Cricetulus griseus: one gene and its partners. The main gene of each other region encodes a partner of the protein of the gene in region 2 in a complex. Links are inferred from orthologs where the notes say so. Each region holds a gene or a part of one and is shown on either strand. Other genes may lie near its edges. The genes, in order: Ddx5, Arvcf, Hnrnph2, Srsf1 and Pa2g4.

Evidence for each region.
Region 1: Arvcf (region 2) and Ddx5 share a complex: the UniProt entries of both Homo sapiens proteins name them as parts of the ribonucleoprotein complex. The link is inferred for Cricetulus griseus from reciprocal best matches to the Homo sapiens genes ARVCF and DDX5.
Region 3: Arvcf (region 2) and Hnrnph2 share a complex: the UniProt entries of both Homo sapiens proteins name them as parts of the ribonucleoprotein complex. The link is inferred for Cricetulus griseus from reciprocal best matches to the Homo sapiens genes ARVCF and HNRNPH2.
Region 4: Arvcf (region 2) and Srsf1 share a complex: the UniProt entries of both Homo sapiens proteins name them as parts of the ribonucleoprotein complex. The link is inferred for Cricetulus griseus from reciprocal best matches to the Homo sapiens genes ARVCF and SRSF1.
Region 5: Arvcf (region 2) and Pa2g4 share a complex: the UniProt entries of both Homo sapiens proteins name them as parts of the ribonucleoprotein complex. The link is inferred for Cricetulus griseus from reciprocal best matches to the Homo sapiens genes ARVCF and PA2G4.

What each region holds. Positions count from the first base shown.
Region 1 is NC_048600.1:119,728,695-119,733,354, forward strand, and holds part of Ddx5 (probable ATP-dependent RNA helicase DDX5), read right to left. Parts: intron 4,493-4,660; coding exon 4,327-4,492; intron 3,719-4,326; coding exon 3,622-3,718; intron 3,533-3,621; coding exon 3,399-3,532; intron 3,304-3,398; coding exon 3,238-3,303; intron 2,789-3,237; coding exon 2,647-2,788; intron 2,563-2,646; coding exon 2,402-2,562; intron 2,316-2,401; coding exon 2,143-2,315; intron 1,748-2,142; coding exon 1,637-1,747; intron 1,390-1,636; coding exon 1,328-1,389; intron 1,242-1,327; coding exon 1,182-1,241; intron 1,078-1,181; coding exon of another isoform or gene 1,064-1,077; exon of another isoform or gene 1-1,063. UniProt on the Homo sapiens protein: Involved in the alternative regulation of pre-mRNA splicing; its RNA helicase activity is necessary for increasing tau exon 10 inclusion and occurs in a RBM4-dependent manner. Binds to the tau pre-mRNA in the stem-loop region downstream of exon 10.
Region 2 is NC_048597.1:70,850,429-70,856,045, forward strand, and holds part of Arvcf (armadillo repeat protein deleted in velo-cardio-facial syndrome), read right to left. Parts: coding exon 5,591-5,617; intron 5,421-5,590; coding exon 4,894-5,420; intron 4,000-4,893; coding exon 3,500-3,999; intron 2,882-3,499; coding exon 2,698-2,881; intron 2,188-2,697; coding exon 2,070-2,187; intron 1,785-2,069; coding exon 1,613-1,784; intron 216-1,612; coding exon 144-215; intron 1-143. UniProt on the Homo sapiens protein: Contributes to the regulation of alternative splicing of pre-mRNAs.
Region 3 is NC_048604.1:45,489,187-45,495,135, forward strand, and holds the end of Hnrnph2 (heterogeneous nuclear ribonucleoprotein H2), read right to left. Parts: intron 5,206-5,949; 5' UTR 5,114-5,205; intron 5,053-5,113; exon of another isoform or gene 4,952-5,052; intron 4,087-4,951; 5' UTR 4,034-4,086; coding exon 2,684-4,033; 3' UTR 1,893-2,683; downstream 1-1,892. UniProt on the Homo sapiens protein: This protein is a component of the heterogeneous nuclear ribonucleoprotein (hnRNP) complexes which provide the substrate for the processing events that pre-mRNAs undergo before becoming functional, translatable mRNAs in the cytoplasm. Binds poly(RG).
Region 4 is NC_048600.1:101,231,978-101,238,362, reverse strand, and holds the start of Srsf1 (serine/arginine-rich splicing factor 1), read right to left. Parts: upstream 3,658-6,385; 5' UTR 3,189-3,657; coding exon 2,995-3,188; intron 2,543-2,994; coding exon 2,358-2,542; intron 1,949-2,357; coding exon 1,776-1,948; intron 1,576-1,775; coding exon 1,381-1,575; 3' UTR 1-1,380. UniProt on the Homo sapiens protein: Plays a role in preventing exon skipping, ensuring the accuracy of splicing and regulating alternative splicing.
Region 5 is NW_023276806.1:129,339,370-129,345,469, reverse strand, and holds the start of Pa2g4 (proliferation-associated protein 2G4), read right to left. Parts: upstream 4,012-6,100; 5' UTR 3,860-4,011; coding exon 3,772-3,859; intron 1,706-3,771; coding exon 1,577-1,705; intron 1,344-1,576; coding exon 1,238-1,343; intron 1,147-1,237; coding exon 1,077-1,146; intron 898-1,076; coding exon 805-897; intron 1-804. UniProt on the Homo sapiens protein: May play a role in a ERBB3-regulated signal transduction pathway. Seems be involved in growth regulation. Acts a corepressor of the androgen receptor (AR) and is regulated by the ERBB3 ligand neuregulin-1/heregulin (HRG).

The DNA of each region.
Region 1 (4,660 bases), on a different chromosome or scaffold from region 2:
CAATTGTATTCCCAAGAAGGTACGGGCTGCAAAAAATACAGTTAAAATGGTTATCCATTTCCTGTAGGAATACCATTGAGGTAGGAAAAAAAAGAGGGTGGGGGCAGAAAAAAGAAAAAAAAAGCACATGTCAGCTGTATTAAGTTATCACCCGCCCATTGACAGCCTATCAAGGGAATGTGTATTCTCCTTAGCACATTCCCAAATTGGCAAAGTCCCCTTACAGATCATCAAGTGACATCTGAGTGCTTCTGCGCAGTAGGGCCACTTAAAAGTTTCACAGCAACCTCTTCATGTGCTCATTTTTGAGGACCTTTAAGAAAAATGTACAAGGTCCTTTGCATCACACTCATCAGAAGTTCAAAATTCTGGCCACACTGCTTGTCTTGCCAAGACCTTACAACTGCAGCTGCAAGAAAAACATACCTGTCCCCCAAAAGTTGTTTTAATGCACTGTGTCTCGTCTAGGCAAGCGCTTCCAAGAAGCCAGGATTCACTTGAGAATGTGTCTCTCTCTGGCAGGTCTCGACATGACGACTACTGTGTAGGTGAGGGAGGAACTTTTTCAAGGCACTTTCTTTTCCCACTGACTATGTGTGAGAAGTTGACCCTGCTGCTCTAGGTCTCATGTGCCAGTACTCACCAATTTGTAAAAGGCTTAGTACCTTTTAAAGCTGCTCTCTCCATTTCAAACTTGAACAAAAATTTCATTGAACATTGAAGTTTGGAAATATTTCTTCGACATTTCAGCAAACTCACTGAAACTCAAAGACCCACAGATCACAGTGAACAGTTTGAAACAATGCTGTACCATGGCAATCATGCAAAGCATGGGACAGATGAAATACCACGGCAGTGAACTGTGAGGTAACTTCCATTTTTTTCCCCCGGAGAGAACAGTTTATGGGGCAGAGGTGGTATGTTCTGCCCTTTGAAGATTACTGGCACACTTTCAGCTTTTCACCTCTCTAATCGACTGGAAGCAGCCAGCCGATCACTAGTCCTCCATCCCCCTCGAGTCCTCCGATTGTCATGCCTAGGCCTTGCCACAAAGACTGCACCTTTATGTGAAAAAAACTTAGAAAAAATGCAGAGGTTAAAGAAAGCAATAAACTTTCTTTAAAAAAAACTACATGGAGATCTTCTGGGAAACCAAGCCATGAATTCGAGTTTGTACTAACCTAGCCCTCTGGAGGCCACATCGGTAGCAATCAGAATAGGAGCTTTTCCGTGTTTGAATTCTACAAAGACATACACATAAATGATCATTAATCCAAGCAAATGTTATCAGGTTATAAACAAACTTCATCTTATTTGAAATACACACCATTTAGAACCCAGTCACGTTCCTGTTGACTCTTGTCACCGTGGATGCCCATGGCAGGCCACCTGTATTAACAAGTTATATTAGCTCTCTTACATTTGAAACCCAAAGGCAGAAATCTACCAATATTTAATCTAACCCTATAGTACTTCATCTTAGTCAAGTGCTCTCCCACTGAGCATTATATCCCTGAGCTGTTACCACTACACTGTCATTGAAATCAATTTGTATAATTCTACTTATATTGTAGAATAGATGATCCCCACAAAACTCTCTTTTGATCAAAGTACCATGAGGCAGGAAACCACATACCCATCTCTCCTCATTTTTCTGGTAAGTTCATCACATCTTCTTTTGGTTTCAACAAAAACAATGGTTTTATTCTCCTTCTCACTCATGATCTCTTCCATTAGACGAATAAGCCTAAAGAGAAAAGAAAAAAGAAATGTGCTTAGTGAAACGTATCAACGGAAGTCAAAACAACACACCCACTAAACCACTTCTGTAAAAGCTTATGACACGTGGCTGTCCTTTCCTTACAGGAAGTAAGGTTAAATACTAGGCAAGCACAACACAGATTTTCATAAAGACTGGCATACCACTTCGTGTGCTTGTGAAGTGGCCAGGCTCAAACTCATATAGCTTTTTTCTTAAGCCAGCCAGGCAGGCAAGTGGTTTATCACCAAGCTATATATATATCCACAAACACATTTTAAAAAGAACCTATACCATACTAAATTTCATTTTAAGACAACTTTCAAAACTAATTACTCTTGTACAATTCAAGATCTTCTCAAATTGCTAAGATTTAAACTTACTTTTCATCCTTTTCTACATCATGACACACATCCACAATCTGAAGAATGTTATGGTTTGCACTCAGTTCTAGTGCACCAATATTGATATGAATATAGTCTTTCAGGAAATCTTCAGCAAGCTGTCTTACTTCTTTTGGCCAAGTTGCACTCCACATTAGGGTTTGCCTATCAGGCTAAAAAATTTTGGGAAATAAATTAAGACTGGAACCCTAAGAGTAAACTTAGAACTGATCTTTACTAAGAACATAAGGATACACACTCTTATTTGATCCACAATTTTCCGTATTTGGGGTTCAAATCCCATATCAAGCATTCTATCAGCTTCATCGAGGACAAGGTAAGTTGTTCTTCTCAGGTTGGTTTTCCCACACTCTAAAAAGTCAATCAGTCTTCCAGGTGTTGCAATACAGATTTCCACACCTTTAATTAAAGGAGCAAATGTAACTATAACATGTAAACCTTTCATTCCACCAGTAACAAGGAGCCCCCTTTATGATCATGTACCTCTTTCCAAATCACGAATCTGTGGTCCCTTGGGAGCACCCCCATAGATGCAGGTAGACTTCAAGCGACAGGCTCTACAGTATTCAGCAGCAACTTGCTGCACTTGCTGGGCCAGTTCCCGTGTTGGTGCCAGCACCAAGCACTAAGGAAAAAAAAATTGCAAAAAACCCCAGCTTTTAGTACACAACAGTATACTATGGTGCTGTGTTTTTTTTGGAGGTGAGGTGGGGTGCATGCTGGGAATTGGATTTATTTAAGACAAGGCTTTCTGTCATTGAAGCTGGCCTCCAACTCCCAGATCCTCTAGTTTCTGCCTGAGATTATAGTAGTGATCACTGACTATTAAGCATGAACCACTATGCTCAGGATAGAGAGACTTTTTTGCATGTGGGAGAACATGTGGAAAGCAGAACTTCTGATTGGTTCTCTACGTGTAGGTTGTAGGGATTGAAATCCGTCCTTGCTTATTGTTCTTGGACATTAGTAACTTGAAAAAGGAACTAAAGTCAAACCAGTTCTGGCAAACTGAGTGGGATTATGTAGTCTAAAAATTTTTAGTGTTAAGGACCAAAAAAGTTAAGAAATACTTACAATAGGCCCATCACCCCTCTCTAGGAATGGCTGATGATTTATGTGGACAATGGCAGGCAGCAAATACTGTTGGAGGGGAAGCGTGAAAACAGAAATTTTATTAAAAATGAAAGATTATCAGGTCACCACTCCCAGAATGTATCAAGTTTCCCTAAACTTACAGATAATGTTTTCCCAGATCCAGTCTGAGCTACTCCAACCATATCCAATCCACTTAGAGCAACTGGCCAGCCCTGAGCTTGAATAGCAGTGGGTTCAGTGAAATTCTGCCTTGCAATCACATCCATGACATTTGCTGTAAAACCAATAATACCATTTTTAGCAAAAACCCTACGCAAGAAGAGGGAACAAATGAAAAGAATTGAGATGAAAATTAGTCCTTACCAGGGAAGTTTGCTTCATAAAAATTCAGAACAGGCTTTGGACAGTTGTGACCCCGAACTGTAATTTCCTTGCTTCTTCTGTATGTATCTACCTCTTGCTGAAAAACAAATGACCCCAGTCTCAAACCTCAGCCAACTGCACTGACAAGTCCCCTACAGCTCAGCAGCAATTTTTATGTACTTAAAACACTCACCTAGGGCAGGGCCTTAGTGGTGCACACCTTTAATCCTAGCACTCGGGAGACAGAGGCAGGCAGATCTCTGAGTTTGAGGCCAGTCTGGTCTCTAGATCGAGTGCCAAGATAGGCTCTAAAGCTACACAGAGAAACCCTGTCTCGAAAACCAAAAAGTCTCACTATGTAGCCCAAATAGGCTGATTGGCTTGCCTGTCTCCCCAGTGATGGGAATTAAAGACTAGTGCCATAACACCTGGCCAATACACATTTTTTTTTTTTTTACCCTCTGGTGCTTCGAGACAGGGCTTCTCTGTATTGTTTGAGCCTGCCTCTATCTCCCGATTACTGGGATTAAAGGCGTGCTCCACCAGCGCCTGGCTCAAATAATTTTTACACTAGATTCAATGGACACATTTGGAAACCACACCACAAATAATAATTTGAATTCGAGACATTTGCAAGGCACCTGTCAGCTTCAATCCAATTGAGTAGAAGCTGTTAGCCAGTAAAAGCCACATTAAATCACTCACTGCGGTGCGTCTTGCCAAATCAGGGTGTTCCTGATAAAAATTCTTCTCAAATTTGGGCAGCTCATCCAGATTCCACTTCTTTTTAACTAGTTTCTCCCCAGGATTTCCAAACTTCTTTCCAGAGAGGGGTCCTGTTCTGCTCCCTCCGAATCTTGGTGCACCAAATCTACAGGGGGGGGGAAGCCACATTGTAAAAAAGTTCTGTTATGTTTGCACTCACATTTTATTTAATGTCTTTTGATATAAAGCCAAAGTGCATTTCTGGAATCCCTCCCAATTGTCAATTCTAGACAGCAACAACTGGCACAATATATTTTTACTATAGTCCCAAGCA
Region 2 (5,617 bases):
CCTAGGAAACTGAACTCTGATGGATGAGTCTGTTTGCTATCTGACTCTCCACCCCTTTCCAGGCCTACTCAAAGGCACAAAGCCTTGACCCCTTGACCAGCACAGGTCCCAGGCTCCCCACCTCTGCCTCTTTACCCATATACCTTTGGCAGCCTCAGTTCGTTTGGGCAGGTCCAGTGTGTCAAAGTTCCGGTCTATCTCTCCATCCTTCTTACCTAGAACAGAAGGGTGGTAGGCATTGAGAGGCAGAGTCCACAAGGGACAAGTCTGTGCCATGTTAGGCACAGCCCTCTCCTGTTCAGAGCCCTGGCAGAGACGTACTGTCCTCCAAGGAGGCAGGCTGGCCCAGGACAGTGGTGGCAGTGGAGCCTAGAACAGCCTAACCATGTCCTGAATACCTAGACCTCAGCTCTCATCAGGGCCAGTGACACAACATGCTGGACCTCAGTGCAACAGGACTGGGCCAAAAACTTCCATCCAAGAGGAAAACTGCCCCCCATTGGTGGGGGCCAGACATGGGCCATCCTTTACAGAAGGATGGCCATAGCATCTAGGTCGAGCCCCTGCAGTAGCCAGTTTGAACTCTCAACCCCTTCTCCTTCAGCTGAGGGAGCTCTGGCAGGTAGCAAGCTGGTGCAGATGACCTGGTGCTCCTGCCCAGTTTACCCTACAGGACTTCTGTGCCACACATCACCCACTTCATCAGGGACAGATGGTCCCCCAGTACTGGCCACTCCCTGGGCCCTGCCCACTGTTTGCTCTGTCCCAGTGCTGGCTTGGTAGCTTGTTCTGACTTTGTAAGCAGCAGCCCCTGGGCCTCCCCACCAGTCCAGAGCTAGCATTCCAGCCTCTGTCATGTCTATGCTGTTGTCATGGAGATGGCTGCCCTTCCAGGGGACTGGGGGTGGGGCAGGGCTTGGAGGCTGGAAGGCATCCCAGCTGCCCTATAGTTGTCATGGAAATAACTGTGGGCGCTTAGGGAGCATGGATGACACTCTGTTGCCCACTGCACTTGCCAGACCTGGACAGCAGAACAAACAGGGACTCACCTTGGTGGAACCACTCCTCTGGGCGGCCGGAGGAAGCACAGGAAAGAGGAGATGAGCCTCAGCAGCAGTACCCTCCCAGGACTCATACTCCCACCCATGCCAGGTCAAGCAAGCAGGCTGTGCAACCTCACTTGAGGAACTCTGGGGACTCAGTACCCACAGGGTACAGGGAAGACCTATGGTCAGGGGCAAGTGAAGGCCGTGTACCTGTCCCACTACTACTGCTGGAGGATACCAGTACCTGAAATCTGTACCCTGCAGGTGCTGAGGGTGCCTGGCCAAGTAAAGGGGTGTGGTTACAGGCTGCTCTGTATATAGCCCGGTAGTGTCATTTGTGGGCCCCTGGAATCCTTCCCCAGAGTACAGGGACAAAGGTAGATACCACACCATGGCCCACAAAAAAGGATTAAACTGGGCCTTGGGTCTCCGCCTTTCCCAACTTGCTGCATGCCCATGGGGCTGACTAGATGACTTCCAGCCTCCAGGAGTATCTGCCATGGATGCTGGAAAGCCGAGCCCTGGGAGCAGTGGGAAGGGGATGTATCCCAGTCTCACCCACCCACCTTTGGCCTTCTTGCCACCAAAGCAGCTGGCATCATCCTTTCTCCGACGCTGGGAGGCTGTAGCACTGCCCTGGATCCCAGGCTCAGCCTCCTGGTATCTGTCAGCCCCCGGAACCTCCTTGTGCACGTGGTAGGACAGGTTCCGCATGATGCACACGCAGTTCTCCACTGACTGTGGGAAGATGTGGCCTGGTTGGGCAGGAACACCGGACAAGGGGGTGCTGATCTTCCCAGACGCTATGTGTGCAGCCATGGCCAGTGAACACCAATGGCACTGTCGGCCTAAGCTGGGGGGAGCTGCCAAGAGAGACTATGTCCTCTGCTCTGGGTAGTTCCTACCTGCTCCCACCGGTGCCATTCTAGGGAATTCCCCAGTTTTGGGTCCTGTTCCTGTGACCATTGGGTTTTGAGAACTTGAAGGGAAAACTGTGAGCTAGTTCCCACCTGCCCCACCCACCTTATTGTCTGTGTCCTTCCTGCCCACAGCTGACTGCAGGGCATGTAGGAGCGCGTCCACCAGCCCTTCGCACTCACGGAGTCGCCGCCGGGCCTCTGCACCATCTGAGCTCACATTCCTGGGTGGAAGGGAGCAGGACCACCCGTGATCCCTGTTCTTGCCTTACTGAACACCCCAGCCCACTAGGCCTCAGTGGCTTTCATCTGCACAATGGGTCCTGCTGGATCCCAGTGAGGGTGAACAGGGTGGCCCAACTGTCCTAATGGGCTTTTAGCCTTGGATCTGTGGGGGAGGAAGCAGGTTCCCTGGATCCCAGGCTGAACTGGAATAGGACAAAGATGGACCCCAAGAGGCCAGAATCCATGATGTGCAGATAATTCTGCCCCATCCTCTCAACAGCACTTCCCAACATCAGGACCCCCTGCAGGGTCAGGATGGTACAAAACTGAAGGTCAAGCAGGACCTCGGGGACTTAGGATTCCAACTGTGGGTGTGAGGACAGCACCACTGGAAATCCCAGGGACTTAGGATGTGGCACAGAAGCTCCTAAGACTGGGTGAGCTGGGCTATGAGCATGGCAGTTCCTGCCACCCTGCAGATCTGGCCCATGCCCCACCCCTGCCCACACCTCAGGCAGCCTGATGTGTTCTTGAAGACCGTTGTCCACTCAGCATCCCGGGGCTTCGAGTCTTCATTGGGTTCTCGCTCCCAGCCTGAGTGGGGTACGATAACCTCATGGGTCAGCGTCTGTAAGCCGTGGTCAATGATGACCATCTTCAGGGGCTCATAGGATGACAGGTTCCAGAGAGTGCCTGTAATGTGCCACTAGTCAATACTGTTGACCATGGCCCTCCTGCCTTGGCCTCCCCAGGGATGACACTTGTGATCTTTCCCTCCTTGTCCTCCAGCAGGCACATGAAGCTAGCACAGTTGTTCCTGGGTTTTTTGGGTTGTCCCGGGGATGGCACCTAGGGCCTTTGTACATGTTAGGCAAGCACCCAGCTCACATAAGAAGTTAGGAGTGGTGAAAGCTATAAGAGGTTCTAGGGTCCCACAAAGCCTGGCAAGATGTACTGGCAGCACCTAGTAGTGGCTTTCAGCTAACAGGGAAGGGACAAGTTCTAAGAATGGCATAGCCAGTGACAGTTTATCCCATCCATTCCTGCTACATGAGTGGGTGGACAGGCAAATGCTCCTGAGGTCACAGGGCCATAGAGAGATAGCCCTATGGACCCCCCACCCCAATTCTCCAAGGCGCAAGCCCTACTCCTGCACTCGTGAAGGTAAAGAACTAGGGAGGTAGGGTCTGGTGCCAGGAACCCCATGGATGAGAGAGCTGGGGACCCATCCTAGCACCTGAGCCTGATACACTGTTTCCCCACTTACGGGCTGAGCCATGCTCTTGTCAGCCATGGCCAAGGCCCACTCACCAGTGACCAGCTCACGGACCTCATTGTCACGGGCAGCCCGCAGCAGGCGCACCAGGGCTGGCACACCCCCGCAGTCCCGGATGGCAGCCTTGTTGTCAGCATCACGGCCATAGGAGAGGTTGCGCAGTGCCCCGCAGGCCCGGCGCCGCACCTCAGCCCGAGGGTGATCTAATAATGCCACAAGCAGGGGCAGACCACGCAGCTGCCGCACTCGCCGCTTGACACCCTCATTCTCAAAGCAGAGGTGCTGTAGGTAGGCTGCTGCATTGGCTTTCACGGGGTCCACAGGGTGCCGCAGCATGGCCAGCACCTCTGGCAGCTCGGGGTCCCGCCAGCGTGGCTCTTTTCGGGCGCTATCCACTGAAGGTGAGCGCCGCACTACTCGGTCCAAGCTGCCTAGGCTGCCCCTCTCAGGCTGGGCCAGAGGAGCCGTTGCTGCTGGGAATGGAGGTCGCTCATCTATCAGCTCACCGGCATCATCTGCTGTGTCCTCAAAGGCCCTGTGTGGGTGAACAAATCCTGTCAACAACTTCACAGTAGCCAGCAGCCCTACCCGGTTACCCTGTTCAGGGGTCTGGGAATTCCCTGAGAAGGGGAACTGACAGCATCCTGTATCTCAGTCCTAAACACAGTATGGACACCACAGCCCAATCAGTGAAAGGTCAAGGTTATAGCCAAACAAAGCCATTAATGGGCTTGCATCCCTCCCATGTCAGGACGTACACCAGTTAACAGTGTTATTTAACCATGGCTTAATGTGGTTAGATGTGGCATCTGTCAGTGACAGGGCAGGAACCCTACCTCCTTCCTTTCTGTAACATCTGCTGACTATACCAGCACATGAAGGTAGAATACCCTCCCTGCAAGTGGCCATTGCAATCAGACCATCTGATGAGACATGTCTTTGGCTCTCAGGTGCCCTATGAATTCTCAAGCCCATTTCCCAGGGAAGAGTTTGAGACTAGGAAAGTCTGGTAATTTGCCCAGAGTCACATGGCAAACTCCAGACTCAGGCTGTGTGGTCCTGTTTTCATGCTACGGATATAAATGGGGACGGCATAAAGGGCAGGATCAAGGGCCATGACAAGAAGAACCAGGGCCTTTGGGTTTCAGCTAGTGTGCATGATGAAAACATCAGAGGCCTTAAGCAGAGTCACACCATGAGCATCTGAGGCCTGGGTCTTCATGGCCAGCTGGTTATTAGAACAGAGGCAGCTTCAGGCAGTGACACCAGCTCAATGCCTATCATCCCAGGCCCGTTCTTGCTGCCATCCTTGAGAAGAGATGAAGCCAATTCAAATTGAAATGTAGCCTGATGACCTGTGGGATACTTTGTAGCTGGGAGTGGAAGACAGAGTTCACAGAAGAGGCAGTCATAAGCAACAGGTGCTCACCTGGCACGAAGGCCCCGCCCATACTCAGGCCTCCTCCGAGCTGCTGTGCCATAGTCAGGCTCCAGGTCAGGGCCACCCTCATCATCGGCAGCCAGGCTCCGTGTATCATCCTCAAGGCCATACGGCTCAGCTTGGAAGTGCTCAGGCAGGGAGCGGCCACTTGGTGGTCCAGGCTCAGAGCCCATGGGGAAGGCTTCTCGGCGGCCAGGCAGTGTAAAGCAGCCATCACCAGGCCCTGGGCCCAGGAAGCCAGTATGTGGGGGCCGTACCCCAAGCCCTCGGGACAGGCTGCCATAGCTTGGAATATCACGGGGCTCAGGGCCATCAGGAAAGCCACCTCCACTGCTGAGGTAGGCTCGGGAGAGTGTGGCTGCTGGGCCACCACCACGCAGAAGGAAATGCCGGTCTAGGGGCCCATCAGCAAAAGAACCAAGTGGGGGGCCACCATCCAGCAAGGGGAGTCCATCTGGGCCCAAAGGCACCTGGCGTACTGTCCTTGTGGTCACAGTCTTGACCGTCTTGGTGACCTGATGGACGAGAAAGTAGCATTTGGGCTTGGTGTCTCTAGAGACCTGGACAGTGCCAGGGTTCTCCATCCAAACAAGTGGTCCTTAGGGGGTCAGCTCACATGCCTGTCCCACAGAGGGATGGCTATGGTTGTCCAAGCTGCCCTCTTCTTGCCTGGGCCCAGCCATACCTTAGTCTCAGTGCGCCGGGTTGTGCC
Region 3 (5,949 bases), on a different chromosome or scaffold from region 2:
CAGGGTTTGTCTGTATAATAACCCTAGCTGTCCTGGAACTAGCTCTGTAGACCAGGCTGGCCTCAATCTCACAGAGATCCTCCTGCCTCTGTCTCTGCTGGGATTAAAAGCATGCACCACCACTGCCACGCAACACAGGGTATTTCTATAGATGCTAAAGCAGACAACTCACAGATCCAGTTTCTGGGGAGTCAAACATCCAGAAATACGTAGTTTGTACATAACTGTTACTGATCTGAGGGTGTCCAGGACTGAAGGTCAGTGAGAGGTGAAATGCTAACCACCATGATGCTCATATGTTAAGATACCCAACTGGGCGGTGGTGGCGCACGCCTTTAATCCCAGCACTCGGGAGGCAGAGGCAGGCGGATCACTGTGAGTTCGAGACTAGCCTGGTCTACAAGAGCTAGTTCCAGGACAGCCTCCAAAGCCACAGGGAAACCCTGTCTCGAAAAACCAAAAAAAAAAAAAAAGATACCCATAGATGAAAGTGACACAGGTGCACAGAATACTCATGGGGAGGTGCAAGCTATGATAAATAGACATGTGGCTTGCATTCAAAAGAAATGTTTTAACTATGTTAATGTTGCAATGAACAGGGGGAGAAGCCAGGTGCTGGTGATGCACACCTTTAATCCCAGCACTCAGGAGGCAGAGGCAGGTGGATCTCTGTGAGTTCGAGGCCAGCCTGGTCTACAGAGGGAGTTCCAGGACAACCTCCAAAGCTACAGAGAAACCATCTCGAAAAACAAAAAGGAAAAAAAAAACGAGGTGGGAGAACTGGTGATCAAAACGAAGCTATTTCTTAACAGTTCCTTTTAGGATTAGACTTTAGCAGTGGGAGAATGGTGAGCTGTCTCACAAGGTGGTCTTGAGTCCTCTCAGCACAATATTTGGCACCATCTCAGAACTTTCCCAGGATGGGGTCCAGCAATCAATTTTTAAATGTTCCAATGATGCTAATGCAGAATCAGAGAAACAGTGGCTCACAAACCTTAGATGTTCTGTAAACCATGAAAAGAAAAGGGCATTTAATGGCTTTTATCACTGAGTGGTGGTGATGCATACCTTCAATGCTAGCACTTGGGAGGCAGAGGTAGACAGACCTCTGAGTTCAAGGTCAGCCTGGTCTACAACATGGGTTTCAGGACAGCCTAGGCTATACAGAGAAACCCCATTTCAAAAAGGAAAAGAAAAAAAAAGAAAAAATCAGAAATAAAACTGCAGGGCTAGAGACAGCTTCATGGGTAAGAATGCTTGCTGGGCTAGCACAGAAGACCCCACTTCACATCCCCAGCACCCATGTAGAAAGCCAGTCGTACTCATACACATGTAACCCCAGTGCTGTGGGCAGCAGAGACACGGGGATCACTGGAACTTACTGACTGCCAGCCTAGCTGCAGGCTCAGTGAGAGACCTGTTATCAGGACAATATGGCAGAGAGCAATAGAACAGGGTACCCAATGTTTTTCTCTGGCTTCTACCAACACTCATTTACATGTGTGTACACATTCATTTGAACACACACACACACACACACACACACACACACACACAAAACAAATAAATAAATAAATAAATCCAAATTTAGGCTTTGGATGTCGCCCTGTTGGTATAGTGGCTGTCTTGCATGCAAGAAGGTGTGGGTTTGCTCCCCACCAAGGCATAAACTGGAAACAGTGCCACATGACTGAAATTCCAATACTTAGGAGGTAGAGGCAGGAGGAGCAGAATTTAAAGGTCATTCACAGCCTGGAATATTAGAGACCTTGTCTCAAAAAAAAGGAAACTGAAAATTTGCATTCCCACTGCAGAGAACTTTTAAAAAGTTAGTTACCATGTGCCCATGTAACAGAACATGATTTAAGAAAAATCAAACTATACAAGATTTGTCCAGTTTTTAAAAGGAAGATTTATTTAACAAGTTTCACTTAGTACAATACATCTAAATGGAATTCACAATACAAGGTAAGATTTAAATCAAAGCCTCAGAATTCCATACAAACAACATGACCAAACTCCTAAAGTATTGGTACTACATCTCAAAATTATCCCAGATCTTTTTAAAAAAAAAAAAAGTGAAAGTGTACACTCACGTGCCTTACAGGATATTAAACCAAAAAGCTAGAATTAACAAACATGCCAAATGTTGTCACTTTGAATCATAGACACAGCTCCTATATTTGATTTTTACAGAAAAGCATGTTTCTCAACATGCATCTGAAGGCTTTGATGTATTGTGGTATAAGAGCAACATTTAACGTAAGTGAAACTGCTTTAAACCTAAATATGCTTACTGCTTAAGTACACTCCTACAACATAACTAACTTGAGGAAAGCTGAAAGTGGATTTAACAGTTATGGTCAATACTGAACTTGTTATTACATCCTAGATGAATATTTCAGTGTTCAAAACTGCTGAGCTTAAAGTTTGAAAACAATCTTAACTTTTACTTTACAGTAAGCATGAATCACAAGCTTGTAATGCAAAACTGTTAAACTTAAATTTTGTTCTTAAAAAAAGGAGAAAAAAAAAAGAAAGAAAGCTGACCGATAGTGATCAGAAGCAACTTTATTTCCCATTTACCAATCATACTGGATATGCTTGGTATCCTTCCTACTCTATCCAGTTCCTATAAATGCACAGCTTTTATTCCTGGAGCTGTTTGGTGTTCCTTCTTTCCCTAAGCAAGGTTTGACTGATAGTCACTTGAGTTTTCCTGAAGAACTTGGTCATATCCACTCATACTGCTCTGACCACCATAACCACCACCATAACCACCACTCAGCTGCTGGCTGGCAGGACCTCCATAACTAGACTGGTTAGATAAACCCATCCCTCCCATCATCTGGCTGCCATAAGCACCACCGCTTGCCCCTGCTGTAGAATTCAAAAACAGTTCTACGTAGCTATGATCGTAAGCTCCTCCACTTGTCCCTGCAGTAGAATTCAAGAAGAGCTCCACATATCTATGCTGCATATTAGCTTTATCTTTTGCCATAGCTGCCACAGCATCTTCATGAGTAGCAAACTCGACATCTGCCTCACCTGTAACTCTGCCATCGGGTCCTATTTCAATGTGTACTCTCATGGGATTAAGAGGTGAGAAAAAATTGTAAATATCATTCTCAGTGGCTCTGTATGGTAACCCCCTCATGTGTACACAGTGCCCTGTGGTGCTCTGGAAACTGGACCCACCATCTCCATATCTATGATCAGACATTCCTGAGAAACAGTAGTTTAGGTCTCTCCCAAATCTATCAGACCCAAAGCCATACCCGTCATTATAGCCTCCATAGTCATCATAGCCTCCATAGCCTCCACCATAGGCACCCCGCCTCATTCTTTCAAATCCAGCTCCTCTACCAATGCTATTATACCCTCTTCCAGCCCCTGGCCTATCATAAGGACCCGGGCGCTGCATAGTCATAAGCTTTCGAGGGGGATCATAGTGAGTTCGGACTTCAGCTCTGCTACTCTTGAAGATTTCAATGTACCTGTGCCCTATTCTTTCCTTGTGTTTCTTTAAGGCCTTTTCAGCTATCTCCTGTGAAGCAAACTGCACGAAAGCCTCCCCTGTGCTTCTCCCCTGAAAGTCCACTGGCAGTGTCATCCCATTTGGCACAATTTCCAACCCTGAAAAGAACTGAACAATTTCTTCCTTGCTACAGCCAAATGGGAGTCCTCTAAGCCGTACAAAACCATCATTGGCAGTATCAGGACTATTTGGACCTGTATGCTTTAACACCCAATCCATTTCAACACTGTTGGACTTGAATACTTCAACATATCTGTGTCCCATGGTTTCTCTGTCTTTCTTTAAAGCCAATTTTACTTCATCTTCAGATTCAAGTTCGACAAATGCTTCACCACTTGGTCTGCCTTCTCTGGTGTAGATGAAACGAACACCTGATGTACCATTTTGGATTTTGCAATCAGAGAAGAAGCGCATCACTTCCTCAGCTGAGCAGGACCAGGGTAGGCCCCTGACCTTCACCACGAACCCCTCCCTGCCCTCTGTGCTCAGCATCATGGTGACTGTTGGGCTCTTGGTGGCAAGCTTGGCTCAACGCAATTTCAATGTGGCTTTAAAAAAATTAGAAAACTATTGTCATGAAAAATTATACACAATAAGAGAAACAAAGAAAACTATTATTATAGAAGTTCACATCAGTTACTTTTTAAAAAGATAGCCACATTAACAAAAAGACTGCATAAAACTTAATTCACTCACTTAACAATTACTCATTCCATTTCTATTATGTATCAGGTATAATTAATAATGATTATTTCTGGGTAGCAGTACAATAGGACTTGTTTCCATGAACATATACATGGAAAATATTAAGACATTTTTTGAATATTTTAAATTTTCTGCACTGGCCCAATGCATTAACATCATAGAGAAAATTAAAATTAAAAATAAATAAAATATAACTATATCTCATTATATAAAAATCAAAAATTTCTTTAAATCAAAAGACAAAATTCATAAGATACAAGTCCATTAATATCCCAAGAATATAAACAATGCATGCAAATCAGTAAAATACAGAACTATTAATGCCTAAGAGATAAATGGGAAAAAAAACATTGAAAACATTAATGGGACTTTACATATGCAAGCATGCTTTAGATGTCAGGTCTAGTACTCATTCTGACATGTAAGAATCAATGAGTCCAGAAAGGGCTTACAGTCCTACAGGAGAACTGTATGCCTTTACCAAAGGAAAGTGCAAACAGATAAAATAAAGGAAGGACTGATTGATGAAGTGTTATCAATTGGAGGCAGAATGGTTAATTGACACAAACTATTCTGATCCTGTTCAGGGATCCAGAAACAGTTTATAAAAATGTTTAATGGAGCACGAAATGGAAGGGGACAAAAAGCAAAGGACAGGGCTGTCAAAAAGAGATGAGATCCTGAGGGTCTGATTTAATAGGAGGCTAGACTCTTCTCTGGTTCACAAGCATGATGATTCAGTATTCACAACACTGTGTGACATGTGCCTCCCCCAAACCTTAAGACATTGGGACTTTACCGTTCTGATGCTGGGTGTGGAGAGGGGAATATATATATATATATATACATACATATCTATATATATAGCACCTTTTACGGATCTTAAACAGGAGTGATGTCATTACAGCCCTTTCAGACTTATCACCCAGGCAACTGGAGCATTCAAACAGAAGGAAGGGGGACTGGATGAAAAGAGCAAAAGAGCAAATTAAAGAATGACCTCTTAGAGATATGACAAGAGATTCACTAAAATAGCAGTAGAGGTAAGGAAAAAAATGTGATCTGCCTAAATAAAAAAGTGGAATCTGCAGCAGGACTTGACAAAAACATTATGGGTATTTTTTTTGAGACAGGGTTTCTTTGTGGAACAGTCCTAGCTGTCCTGGAACTCTCTCTGTAGACCATGCTGGCCGTGAACTTTCAGAGATCTGCCTGTCTCTGCCTCTGGAGAGCTGGAATTTAAGGCATGTGCCACCAACTCCCGGCTAAAAGATTATGGGTGTTAAGAGCTGGAATTTAAGGCGTGTGCCACCAACTCCCGGCTAAAAGATTATGGGTGTTAAGAGTTGCTAGGTGAGCCAGGCAGTGGTGCTGGAGGGAGAGGCAGGCGGATCTCTGGGAGTTCGAGAGCAGCCTGGTCTACAAGAGCTAGTTCTAGGACAACCTCCAAAGCCACAGAGAAACCCTGTCTCAAAAAAAAAAAAAGTTGCTAGGCGGATCTCTGGGAGTTCGAGAGCAGCCTGGTCTACAAGAGCTAGTTCTAGGACAACCTCCAAAGCCACAGAGAAACCCTGTCTCAAAAAAAAAAGTTGCTAGGTGGATTTCTGTGAGTTCAAGGCCAACCTGATCTACACAGGAAGCTCCAGGCTAGCCAAGGCTGGATAGTGAGACCTATTCCCAAAACAAACAATAAGAGTAAATATGCA
Region 4 (6,385 bases), on a different chromosome or scaffold from region 2:
CAAACCTTTATAACCAGCAAAACCAAAAAAGAGGAGGCAAAATGTTAGATACTGTAATCAAAAAAGGTTTCTGGGGAATGATGAGTTATGTCTGTCATCAGTTTAACAGATGTACATCAATAACTATCAAATTCCCCAAAACAAGTTTCTGTATGGTGTTTAGATAAACTTTAGAAACTTAATCATTATAGAGACTAACAGGAAGAAGCAATTTATATTTACAGTTCAACTGATAATGCCAACACTTGTTACTGTACAGGTATCACAGGTTTTGTGGTTGCAAAGTTATGTAATTGAAGTTTACTGGTATTGCTACCCACCTAAGTCTAAACTAAATCTATTGCTCCCATCTGCAATTTAGCTTGTAAATTAAAGTGTATTAAACATGAGTCAATTATGAATATTAAAAGGGAAGGTGAGACTTAAAGCACTCCCAACTAGATTATCTACACTAATACATTGGAATTCTATTTTGCTGTCATTTTGTCTTTAAAAAAAAATGAAATAACAACGCTCTATCAGTCACACAGAGGACATGCAGATTTAGCAGTATTGATATTATACTCTGTTTGGAAATAGACACCCTGTACCCACATGTACACCAACAGCAGGCCACACATTAACAGTTGTAACTAAGCACTGTGACAAATTAGCCATTCTTCCCACATTAGTCCCTATTAAAACAAAAAGGGGGGGAGAAGGGAGCAAATAATTGTTACAAAATGGGCAATTCTGCCACAATTGCCAAGGTTTAGAAAGCAATTGTAGCTAAAGATAACTGCATAAGATGTTTGCAAGTGTCTTAAGGTAGATAAAAATTTTAACCCTTGTCTTTTAGTATAAGGTCAATACTGCCAATTTCATCTGTGACAATAGCACTTGGAGTCATACCATTGCCTCCATTATTGATCTGATCCTCCTCAATCCTCCTTTTGACAATCCTAAAATGATTGAAATGTGCTCCACAATCCTTAATCCAAAGCATTCTTAATCCATCTCTTCAGATATGTCTACAGAAAGACACATGAAAAGCAAGATAAACATAAGAACTTCCCCAAGTAAGATAACCACAAACACCCCCAACATCCCATTTCACACAAACCAGAGCAGAATAGACATTTACACAATATCACAGTCTGAAGAGCATGGAAATTAACTAAATTTAAACAATCCTGTCTATGACATCACTTAAAATACAATTTACCAAAGACATGAGGGGAATGTAGATGTTAGGAGCAAGGGGATATTACACAAGAATGCAATTCAACACTTTAGCCCATTCTGAACAAAACAGCTTGAATTAAAAAAAATGAAAAGATTGTACTGAGTAAAGGAAAACTGTATACAACATGGGTTCTACAAAAAGTGTCACCAATCATCTTATGTACGAGAGCGAGATCTGCTATGACGGGGAGAATAGCGTGGTGATCCTCTGCTTCTCCTTGGGGAGTAACTGCGACTCCTGCTGTTGCTTCTGCTACGGCTTCTGCTACGACTACGGCTTCGAGATCGAGATCTTCCATAACTTGGACTTCTGGGCCCATCAACTTTAACCCGGATGTAGGCAGTTTCTCCCTATTGGATAGACAGAACTTTCCATTGAAAGATCTAAGCTTTCACCTGTCTTCAGACATGCTGAATGAATACAAAGACAGACAGACCAGGTCTCTGGTAATTTACTTGGACACCTTTGCCTGTATCCTTACCTTCAAATTCCACTGTTAAGAACACTGTATCCAATTCTGGCCAAATAAAAGAATAAATGTATAACCTACCTCATGAGATCTAAACTTAGTGTTATCCAGTTTTCGAACTGCATACGTCATATCTTCTTTCCGTACAAACTCCACGACACCAGTGCCATCTCGGTAAACATCAGCATAACATACATCACCTGCTTCACGCATGTGATCCTTTAAATCCTGCCAGCTTCCACTCGGAGGCAGTCCTGAAAAAGTGATTTCCCCCTACTTAATGCTAATCACCCAGTTCCACATCAAACTGGTGCAACGTACATCAGAACAAGGATTATTTTAAAATACTGAATGATTGTACTTAAGTGTTTCCAGGTAAAGAGCTGGTAAGAGTCTGAGATCCACAGTCCAAACTTATTTGTAAAGGATCTTCATAGGCTAGCACTGCAACCTAATTTGGGTAAATCACCGCCACAGTAATCTTCGTTTACTAAATTCACCCCCAAGACCGAAGCAGTTTAAAAGGAAAAAAAAGGAAAAAAAAAAAAAAAAAAGCAAAGCAAAGCAAAACAAAAAATAAGACCAAACACCAAAACTTGGGAGTTGTCAAACCAGTCTCGCGGGAAAAGGATTTTCTTAAAACCCCACACGGAGTCAACTCACCAGAGACAACCACTCTGTTTTCAGAGCGCCTGGATGGCGGGCCATAGCGGCCTCTCGGAGCTCCGCCGCCTCCACCCCCGCCGCCGCCTCGGCCGGTGCCGCGGCCGCTTCGAGGAAACTCTACCCGCAGACGGTAGCCGTCGTAATCGTAGCCGTCGCGACCGTACACCGCATCTTCCGCGTCTCTGCGTGATCACAGAAAGCAAAGGGGATGAGGCCAGGGACAGCGGCCGGCCGGCCGGCCGGCCGGGCTCACGCAAGCCACTCGGGAAGCCGCGGACGGCGCACATGCGCACCCACGGCGCCGGAGCCCACATGCGCTGCATAATAGGAGCGGCCCCTCCCCCACCCACAAACACGCCGGGCGGACTCCCGACCACCACGCCAGCCCTCGGCGCCTCAGTTTCCCGCTCCCGGGCCGCGCATGGGCTCTGGGGACGTCCGAGGCGGCCAGCCACCGGAGACAACACGCCGACTCGGCTCCTTTACTCGACTCCTGCAGGGGCGATAGCGCCTCGCTCCCAGCCTCGGAGCCCCTCCTTCCCTCCCCCCCCCATTATGTCCAGGCCTCAGACAGAGCCTTCCCCCAACTACTCCAGCCTATCTCCTCAAGGCCGCAAGCCCCACGCTGCCTCACCGCGGGTCCTCGAACTCAACGAAGGCGAAGGGCGGTCCCCCGCGGCGGTTCTTCAGGTCGATGTCGCGGATAGCGCCGTATTTGTAAAACACGTCCTCAATGTCCTTGGTTCGGATGTCTGGAGGTAGGTTACCCACGTAGATGCGGCAGTCGTTGTTGCCTGCCGGGCCCCGAATCACACCACCTCCTGACATGGCGGCGAGGGAAAAAAAAAAAGCGCGGACTCGAGAAGAGGCCTTCCCACCAAGCCTAGCGTACGGCAGAGCGAGCCCTCAGCGGCACCACGTCTCCCGCGGCCCGTCCAAAATGGCGCCTTTATCAGCCCGGCGCACTGATATGGGGGGGAGGGGGAGGAAGGGAAGCCAGAGGAAGCGGCTATTCCGTCCCCAGTACGCACGCGCACGAGCGTAACGGGTGCTGAGAGGCACGCTCGCGCACGCGCTACGTCACCCTCCGCACGGAGGGGAAAAAGTCCCTCGCGTCCTGCTGCTGGTGGAACGCCTGGTTCAGCGAGGCGGCCAGACGTGTGGTTGAAAACGGTGTACGCTGGTGAAAGGGGGTTGTTGGTCCCGGCTGAGTCAAGGATAGTATGTCTCCCCTCAGGAGAGAACCCTCTTTTAAAAGCCACTCGGCGCTTTGAAAGGATTTGGTGACAACAGCCCACAACCGTGTCCCACCATGCTCCGCGGCGGTAACGGCCTTTGGCGGGAAAGGCGCCGGGGGGCGGAGCCAGATGACGCTGAGCTGTTGCTCCGGAAACCTGGGCATCTTCGGAGCCGGCGGAGTTGCAGGTGATTGGTTTAAGAGCGTGGGCGGAGCTGTGTCCTGTGCTTCTACGAACCTGCGTTTTTTTGGTGGGCTGCGTTTTGTAGGCAGTTAGGAACCCTCCACACCTCTGCGAACCAACCGCGCCTTCAGTTTTTTCTCTTCCTCCTTTCAAAGGATGGGGAAAGAAAAAAAATAATAAAATAGATGCGAGGACTGTAACTACTAGAGACAACGGTTGCATCTCACATTGTTTGAAATCAGGATATTTATATTGGATACTACGACTTTTAACTCCTTTGTAATCACGGGAATGGAATTTAGGGCCTTATGTGTGAAATCATGCAGGTTTTCAGTCTTGTTAATGAATTCGAACTGGAATAAAAGCAAAACCAAGCTGAACTTGGTGACTTGTGGCCTCAATTTCGTCAGTCCGGAAACTGAGGCAGGAGGATTCTATGCTAGTCTGTGATACACAGTTCTAGATCAGCCGGGGCCATGTAGGGAAACCCTTTAGATTTTTTTTTAAATTTATTTTTTGTGCATTGATATTTTGACATGGGTACTGGGTTCCCTGGAACTGAAATTACAGACAGTTATGAGTGCTTGGAATTGAACCTAAGTCACTGAGCCATCTCTCCGGCCCCGGGAAACCCTTTAAATTAAAAAATTGGGAAAAATAAAGCCAAAGCCTTTTGTAGTTATTATTTTTGTATTTTTCACACAGGATTTCTCTATCTTTCCCTGACTGTCTTGGATCTCACTCCTTAGACCAGGCTGGCCTGGATTTCAGATCCACCTGCCTCTGCCTCCTGGGTGCTGGGGGATTAAAGACATCGACCGCCCTCTTCAGGCTAAAACCAGAGCCTTTCATATTCAAAGTAAACATAAAATAGCCAGAAGAGGCAAGCGCATGCCTTTAATCCCAGCACTTGGGAGGCAGGGGCAGGCGGATCTCTGAGTTCGAGACCAGCCTGGTCTACACGAGCTAGTTCCAGGACAGCCTTCAAAGCCAGAAACCCTACCTCAAACAAACAAACAATAGCCAGAGGTGGTGGCACGCCTTTAAATCCCATCATTGTGGTAAACAGAACCTTTTAGTTCAAGGCCAGCCAGAGCTACAGAGACCCTGACTCAAAATAAATGAGCTAAATCAGACCCCCACCGATTTTAAGGGTGTTTTCTGCACTATTACTTTTAGTTTTTAATTTCCTTTCTTTTTGTTTTGTTTTTCAAGACAGGGTTTTTCTGTGTAGCTCTGGCTGTCCTGGAACTTGATCTGTAGACCAGGCTGGCCATGAACTCACAAAGATCTGCCTGCCTCGGCCTTCTGAGTGCTGGGATTAAAGACATGTGCCGCCGCCGCCGCCACCACCCAGCAGTCTTTAAATTTCTATTTTGTGCATATTATGCATTGGAGTGGTGACTGGTGCCATGGCGTACCCATGAGAGTCAGTTCACCCCACCCCCAACCGTGTGAGCCCAAGATATGAAACTGTCAGGGTTTTGAAAAGCACCTTTACTGGATGAGCCATTCTGCTGCCCCTTTACATTCTCATTGACTTAGAACATTCCAAGGATGTAAGGCTGCTTAAAATGAAAGCATTAAATATTAAGACAGGCTAAAGAAATGAAGGTCAATGAGAGTGGGGGAGGGGCTGAGGTGATAAATGCCTGAAGTGAGAGGCTGTTGGATCCCTGGAGAGATCAACTGCAAGGAACACAGTATATTCAAAATTTTAAATGACTTTGAAATACAAATCAATAGTTCAGGAAAGGGCAGGGTTTTGTTAGTCATAAAAGCTAGTTGAAATGAATTTTATAGCAAGGCATGGTAGCCCATATCTGTAATCCCAGCCCTCAGGAGGTTAATGAAGAAGACAATGAGCTCATGGTGAATCTGGGGGGGGTTACATAATGAGATGCTGCTTCAAAAAACAACAAGGGGGGGGGTTAGTGGCACATGCCTTTAGTCCCAGCACTCAGGAGGCAGAGGCAGGCGGATCTCTGTGAGTTTGAAGCCAGCCTGGTCTATGGAGCGAATTCCAGGACAGCCTCCAAAGCCACAGAGAAACCCTGTCTCAAAAAAAAAAAAAAAATGTGTTTAGTAAATGTCTAAGTGAAATACAAACCCAATTTGAAATGATCAAAGATGCTTGTTAAATGTTGGGGAAAGTGGGGGTTCTTGTTTGTTTTTGAGTCAGGGACTCCTATAACTTAGGCTGCCCTTTAACTTCCCAAGCTAGCCCTCCTACCTGCATGAACAGCTTGAAAAGTGAAATTTTTGTTAAATTTTTAAACTATGTATGGGTGGCCCCGGGGAAGTTGAAGCAGGAAGATGAGTTCAATGTCATCTTCTACTATGTTTACAGTTCAGGGCTGGGCTGATCTACGGGAGACACTGATTCAAAAGTGTGGTGAGGCATGCCTTTAATCCTAGCACACATGAAACAGGCAGGATGTGAGTTTGAGACAAGACCAGTCTATGTTGTGAGTTCAGGACAACCAGGGCTACTTAGAGATGGTTGAGCCCACAGCCTTGGGCATGAAAGGAAAGTGCTCTCCCACTAAGTTGAGTCCCTTACACTCTTATTTTTTTAAGCAGTTTTTTGTTAGCGTATATTAA
Region 5 (6,100 bases), on a different chromosome or scaffold from region 2:
TTGGGGCGGGTGACTTTAAAAAAAAAGTTAAACGTGCTGGGCCGTGGCAGCGCACACCTTTAGTCCCAGAACTTGGGAAGAGGCAGGCAGATCTCTCTGAATTTGATGCCAGCCTGGTCAGAGTGAGTTCCAGGACAGCCAAGGCTACATAAAGAAACCCTACCCTGTCTCAAAAAAACAATAAGACGCATAGATTGCATGATTCCACAACTATAGACTAACCATTATGCAAATAACCAATAAAAAATAATAGTAACAACTAATTTCAGAAATTACTATAGGCTAGGCTTGAAAACAACTCTTTAGTCAATAGTATTATAAGGAAACAAAGGCAGAATTATAAGTAAAAAGTATGCAACTTAAGTAATTATAAGGATTAAATACAAACAGAACAAAAAGAAGGGCACACAAAAAGACAGTCTTAAGTTTTCAGTAGTTTTCTGAATAATGTTCACCAACAATCTAACACAATTAATGTTAGTTCACAAGAACTCTATCCTATCTGGGCTTCCTGATACGCTCCCCCCTCCAAACAACAAAAGAATTTGTTTGTTAGGCACGAATTTGCCAGCACTTTTTCTATCCTTTTCATGCACAGTTTTAAGAAACGTGTTTCATTGTTCATTACCTACCCCAAATTATTTTGGGGTGAAAGTGCACATACAAAATCTAAAAATGGCCTTTATAGGCTCCACGGTAAGAAGTCACATTCCCTACACCTTGCATGTACTGTGGTAGATACTTAGTTATTTGCTGTTTTCAGGGTGCCTGATTCATCTTTGCAACAGGAAGGAAGCACCTTACCTGGTTTCCGGGTTTGACCAGTCGTAAGGCAGCTTCGGCACAAAGATGAGCTGCCTTAATGACATCTGCTTTCCGGCCTGTTACCTGGGTCCCCTGTGGAGAAATATAACTAGTATCACTGCAAAGCTCACTATGTTCATATTCGAGGCCAGCCAATCACACAACACACCAGAAAGTGGTTTCTTTTTGCTTCTCTGGATACTCTTAAGATTATGTGGTACGACAGAGTGGAGCATATCCCCTTACCAACACTGAAAAGGCATGCTACCCACCTGAGCCACACCAATTACAAAAGTGTGAGCCACATTAGCAATGAAGCCATCCACATGGACCCCAAGGTCACTGAAAGGCAAGGATAGAACACTTCATTAGGAACCGACCCTGCTTAAATGTGTAGGAAAATGACAAATACTCCAGAATGGCTTAACCTTACATTTTTACCAAGTCACCTTCCTTGAGTATATAGTCCTGGTCACTCTTCAAAGGGGAGAAGTGACACACACAGTTATTTACGGAAATGCTGGTAGGGAAGGCAACACCTGTAAAAAGAACCATCAACCTTACTGCCTGGCTCTGCCTTGGCAGCACCCGCTGCCTTCCTTAAACTTACTCAGTGTAGATCAGGAGAGGAAACTACACCCATCCCATTTGCTACTCCAGATTTCCAAATATGTTAATCAGAGATGGCGTGGACTTTACAATGGGGGGGGGGCGGGGCTAGATGGATACGGTCAAATGGGAGAAATTAAGAAGAGTATTCTTTCCCGTTTACCTTTCTTCATTTCCTTTTCCTTCTTGAAGATTTTCCCTGTCTCTTCCATTATCATGGCATCGCCTTTCTCACACAGGCTCAGCACTGATACACCTGAGCTGGAGGCTTCCACCAAAGATCGGAGTACCCCTGGAGACAGAATCCCATCAGGTCAGTCCTGCTTGCATTCATCATCTAATTAGATGTGAAGTTGAATTCATTTTCTAATACTCCCTAGTGTCATTGTCTTAAGGCAGGAAGTGGAAAGGAAACAAATTTTGTGTCCTGGTACAATCTATCCACTTTAATGTCTACCTTTTTTTGTTGTTGTTTATTTTGCTTTTTTGAGACACACCCCTGGCTTTCCTAGAACTATGTACACCAGGCTGGACAGGAACTCAAGAGATGGCCTGCCTGTGTCTCCCCGACAAGTGCTGGCACCAGGCACTATCACGCCCAGTCTTCCTTTCTACCTTCCTTTCCTAAAATAAAAAAGGCCAGCGCTTACTTCTCTTCTGTAAATTATTTGACACCTGGATAGACGAGAGTCTTGCACCTACCAAAGATGTTATGGCATACAGAATCATGAACGTTAGGGAACTGTGCTCAAGACACCCCATATGCACAAGCAGAGCAGAAGAAATTTATAGGCGTCAGGGACAAGGGAAGGTACACATAGAATTGCTGAGTCAAAGTTGAAGCATTGTTAAATGCTACCTTCTTCCCTTCCCTAGACACTCTAATTAGGTGTTAGTAATCACAATTTATGTAGATGCATTTCCCCATATACAAGCATATAAGACCAGGGGAATTAATCTAAGGTCTCAAAGATTCAGGAGACTCAAGGTTTACTTTGAGATCTCAAGGAAACGTGATCAGTTTCAAAATTATTATCTAAAGTCAAATTGCCTAAAGCTTCAAATAGTACGGATAGAAATTTTGTCTGATTTAAACCAATAATATCAAATACTAAAACTACCCCAGATAGGGATATTATTTTGTATCCGTCCTCTCTATGATCCATGGGGATTCAAGGCTTAATAGTGTTTTGGTTATTCTTTGGAATACAAAAAAAAAAAAAAAAAAAAAAAACAACTCGGTTTTAACTAAAGGCATCCTAAATACCTTCTTCAATTTTGTCAAGACCATTTTAAAGTCCTAATAGTTTCTATCTCTATTAAGAGGCTTTTAAAAAATGGAAAAGAGAGCCGGGTGTGGTCTGGTGGCACAGGCCTTTAATTCCAGCACTTGGGAAGAAGAGATAGACGGATCTGAGGCCAGCCTGGTCTACAAGAGTAGGACAGAAATTCCCCCCCACCCCCGGGAGGGGGTGCATGGGACGGGACGGGACTGACACGAAGAGACAACTGGAAAGAGCCCAAGTGGCAGACAACTGTTGAGAAAGAGCAAGAAATACTTATAATAACCCTAAAAAAATCAGTGTTCCTCTCCGTCCCGTCCCAGCATTATTGACAGGCTTGCCTAGCTGTGTTCTAAGCAGGACCTCAGAACACTGTCAAGCCTCTAAAAACAAATATTCAAGGCCATTTCACAGGCTGGGGCAGCAGTCATCAACCTAGTGTAGAAAACCGATTGTCTTTAAGAGTTGTGTTAGAAGCTGCAGACGTGCCCCTCAACGGTCCCTCGGGCTAGGCCAGGGGAGAAGGGGGCCCCCACCAGGGGGACCTGAAGTTGAGACTTTTCTGAAGCACGTGGTGGGGAAGCACGGTAGTAGAGGAAGTGGGGAGCCAGCGATCCGCACAGGGACCTGGCAACACGTGCCGGCCTGGCTCCTACGGGTCAGGACCCGCGACTGCCAGAGGGGCGCTTATGTCGCCAACAGCTGGGAGCAGCACCCTTTCCGAGGTAGCCTCACAGCTGCCAGTCAGTGGAAGCAGAGATCCCGACAGACCGAAGGGTGACGGGCAGAAGACGACGCGCCTTGCCTCCTTACCAACCGCCTAGGGTCGGAGCATGTCTGGGCCCCTCTCTGCGCTCCTCGCGGTCGCCGGCCCGCACCTCCACTCTCTCCAGCCCAGGCATGGCTGCTCAGTCCCCGGGGCGACACCAGATCTCCCCACCACGTCGCCCCTGGTCGTCGGCACGCGCCCCTCGGTGGCTCACTCCGCAAGACCCAGCCGCTCCAGCCCCTCGGGAGACAGCCCCAAACCTCTCCCTCTCAGCCTCGATTCCAAGACCCCCGAGGCCGCACTCACGGTTGGCGATGTCGCCCCCCATCTTATACTTGGTCACGACCAGGTCCTCGGCGATAGTTTGCTCCTGCTGCTCGTCTTCGCCCGACATCTTCCTACCACCACTACTGCAGCTTCACTTTCCCTGAGCTGCGGCCTCCGTCTCCCTTCCAGCCACAAGCTGTAGCTAGAGTCTCTTCGATCCGCGAGGAAAGCGCGAGCAAGCAAGGGAGCGGGAGGGCGGGCGCAGAGAGCGAGAAGCTGCGAGCGCGCGGGCTGAAGCGCAGGGCACGCTGGGACAATGAGTCCGGCCGGCGTCCAGCCTCCAGCCGCCCTCGTGTGCTCAGGAACTACAATTCCCAGCCTGCTCCTCGCGCCCCGCCGCCAGGCCCTGGGGCCTTGCCCTCCCAGGTCTGCGCACGCCGGAATCGCCGGGCACGCTGGGAAGGGTCTGGCTCCGGCGGGAAGGCGGAGCCGTTGGGGAGCTTGAGGGAAAGCGTGGTCTCTACGGGAAAAACCTCATTCACGGGAGCTCGGAGCCAGAACTCGTAACAGAGGGGGGCGGGCTAAGCGAGGCGGGGCGGAGCTAAGCGGAGAAGAGGGTTTAGAGGCCGCGGAACAGGGTGGAACAGGGTGGAGCAGGGTGGAGCTAGAGGACCAGGGTCACTGTTGGTACACCTAGGGCGGGCAGCTTCGGATTCCCGGGTAGGCAAGCGTGACCGGCCTGGCTGGTCCAGTCCTCCTCTGCTGGGAGAACAGGAAGGGGCCGAGCGGAGGCGGTGCTGGGAGCGAGGGACTAACTGAACAGACTTAACTAGACAGTCCGAAAGATTATTCATTTACCGTGGCCTGCTAATAAGGCCAGACTTGCTACTATACTAGAGTAAAATGGCACTATTGTTCCAGCGGTAGGTTTTGATGGGGGCATCTAAGGGAAATGTTTAGGAGGTATTTGGTCACTCCAAAGAGAATGAGTTCTGAATTATTTCAGGCTTTCAGTATTCAACCTATGTAGGAAAAAACAAACAAGATTTGGGGTTTTTCTCTTTTCCCAAGCAAGCGCTTTGGCTTTTCTTGTTTACACTTGCTACTTTGTAGCGATTCCCAGTAAAACGGGTTAATAAAAAGGAGTAGAAACAGGGTCTGGAGAAAAGGCTCAGCGTTTATAACCTGGTATTCCTGTGGAGGGAGTTCGCAGCACCATGCCAAGCAGCTTGTAATTTGGGCACTGCACTCACCATTGCCAGCCCCTACTCCCTCATATACCCATTTTTTTTGTTTGTATGCTTTTTTGCGTTTTTGTTTTTCGAGACGGTTTCCCTGTGGCTTTGGAGACTGTCCTAGAACTAGCTCTTGTTCACCAATGCCCGGCTACCCAGGTTTAAAAATAAACTCTTAAACCGAGCGTTGGTGGCACACGCCTTTAATCCCAGCACTCACGAGACAGAGGCAGGCGGATCTCTGTGAGTTCGAGGTCAGCCTGGTCTCCAAAGCTACACAGAGAAACCCTATCTCGATAAACCATAAATAAATAAATAAATAAATAAATAAATAAGATCTTAACATTTAAATAAAGCTGGAGAGATGGCTCAGAGGTTAGGAGCACTGGCTGCTCTTCCAAAGGTCCCAGGATCAATTCCCAGCAACCACTTGACAGCACGCACTATCTGTAATTCCAGTTTCAGAGGATCTGACACCTTCATACCAATGCAAACACAATAAAGTTGAATTATTAAAAAAACATTTAAATAAAAAATTGGGAATGTCAGGAGCAGAGGAAGCTACTGATTGCTAAGAAGCAAAGAAAAGGGATGGTCTCAATGCACTCTTCAGTTGATAAAAATCCAAAAGAAACTTGGCATCTTTATTCAGACATGTATAAAAACAAAACAAAAAAACTTTAATGGTACAAGAAGACATTTTCCCTCAGTTCCCATCCAGGAAGACTGAGGTCTGAAGATGGATCCTCTTTCTATCCCACAAGAAGTTTCTCATTACTGGTTAAGAATAATTCCTAAAATGAGTCTTGGAACCTTTGTGAATTGACTGTAAGGAGTGTATATTATCCACAACATATGTGGGCTATGAAAATGTCCAGTTATTTGTCCTTCTGTGTTGTCTTCACTCCTTCCTGAGATGAGAAGCCTGTGTGCTGGAGGAAAATGTGGCCCTTTGGCGTTTGCTTGATTCTGTGCACAAACAAGGAGTCTGGCAGTTCACAACTTGGGAGGCTGAGACAGGATTGCTGTGAGTTGAGTTCAAGGCCATCCTCCTGGGCTACATAGTTCCAGGTCACTCTGCAGAGTGAGACCCTGTTTCTATCTCTGTCTCTGTCTCTGTCTCTGTCTCTCTC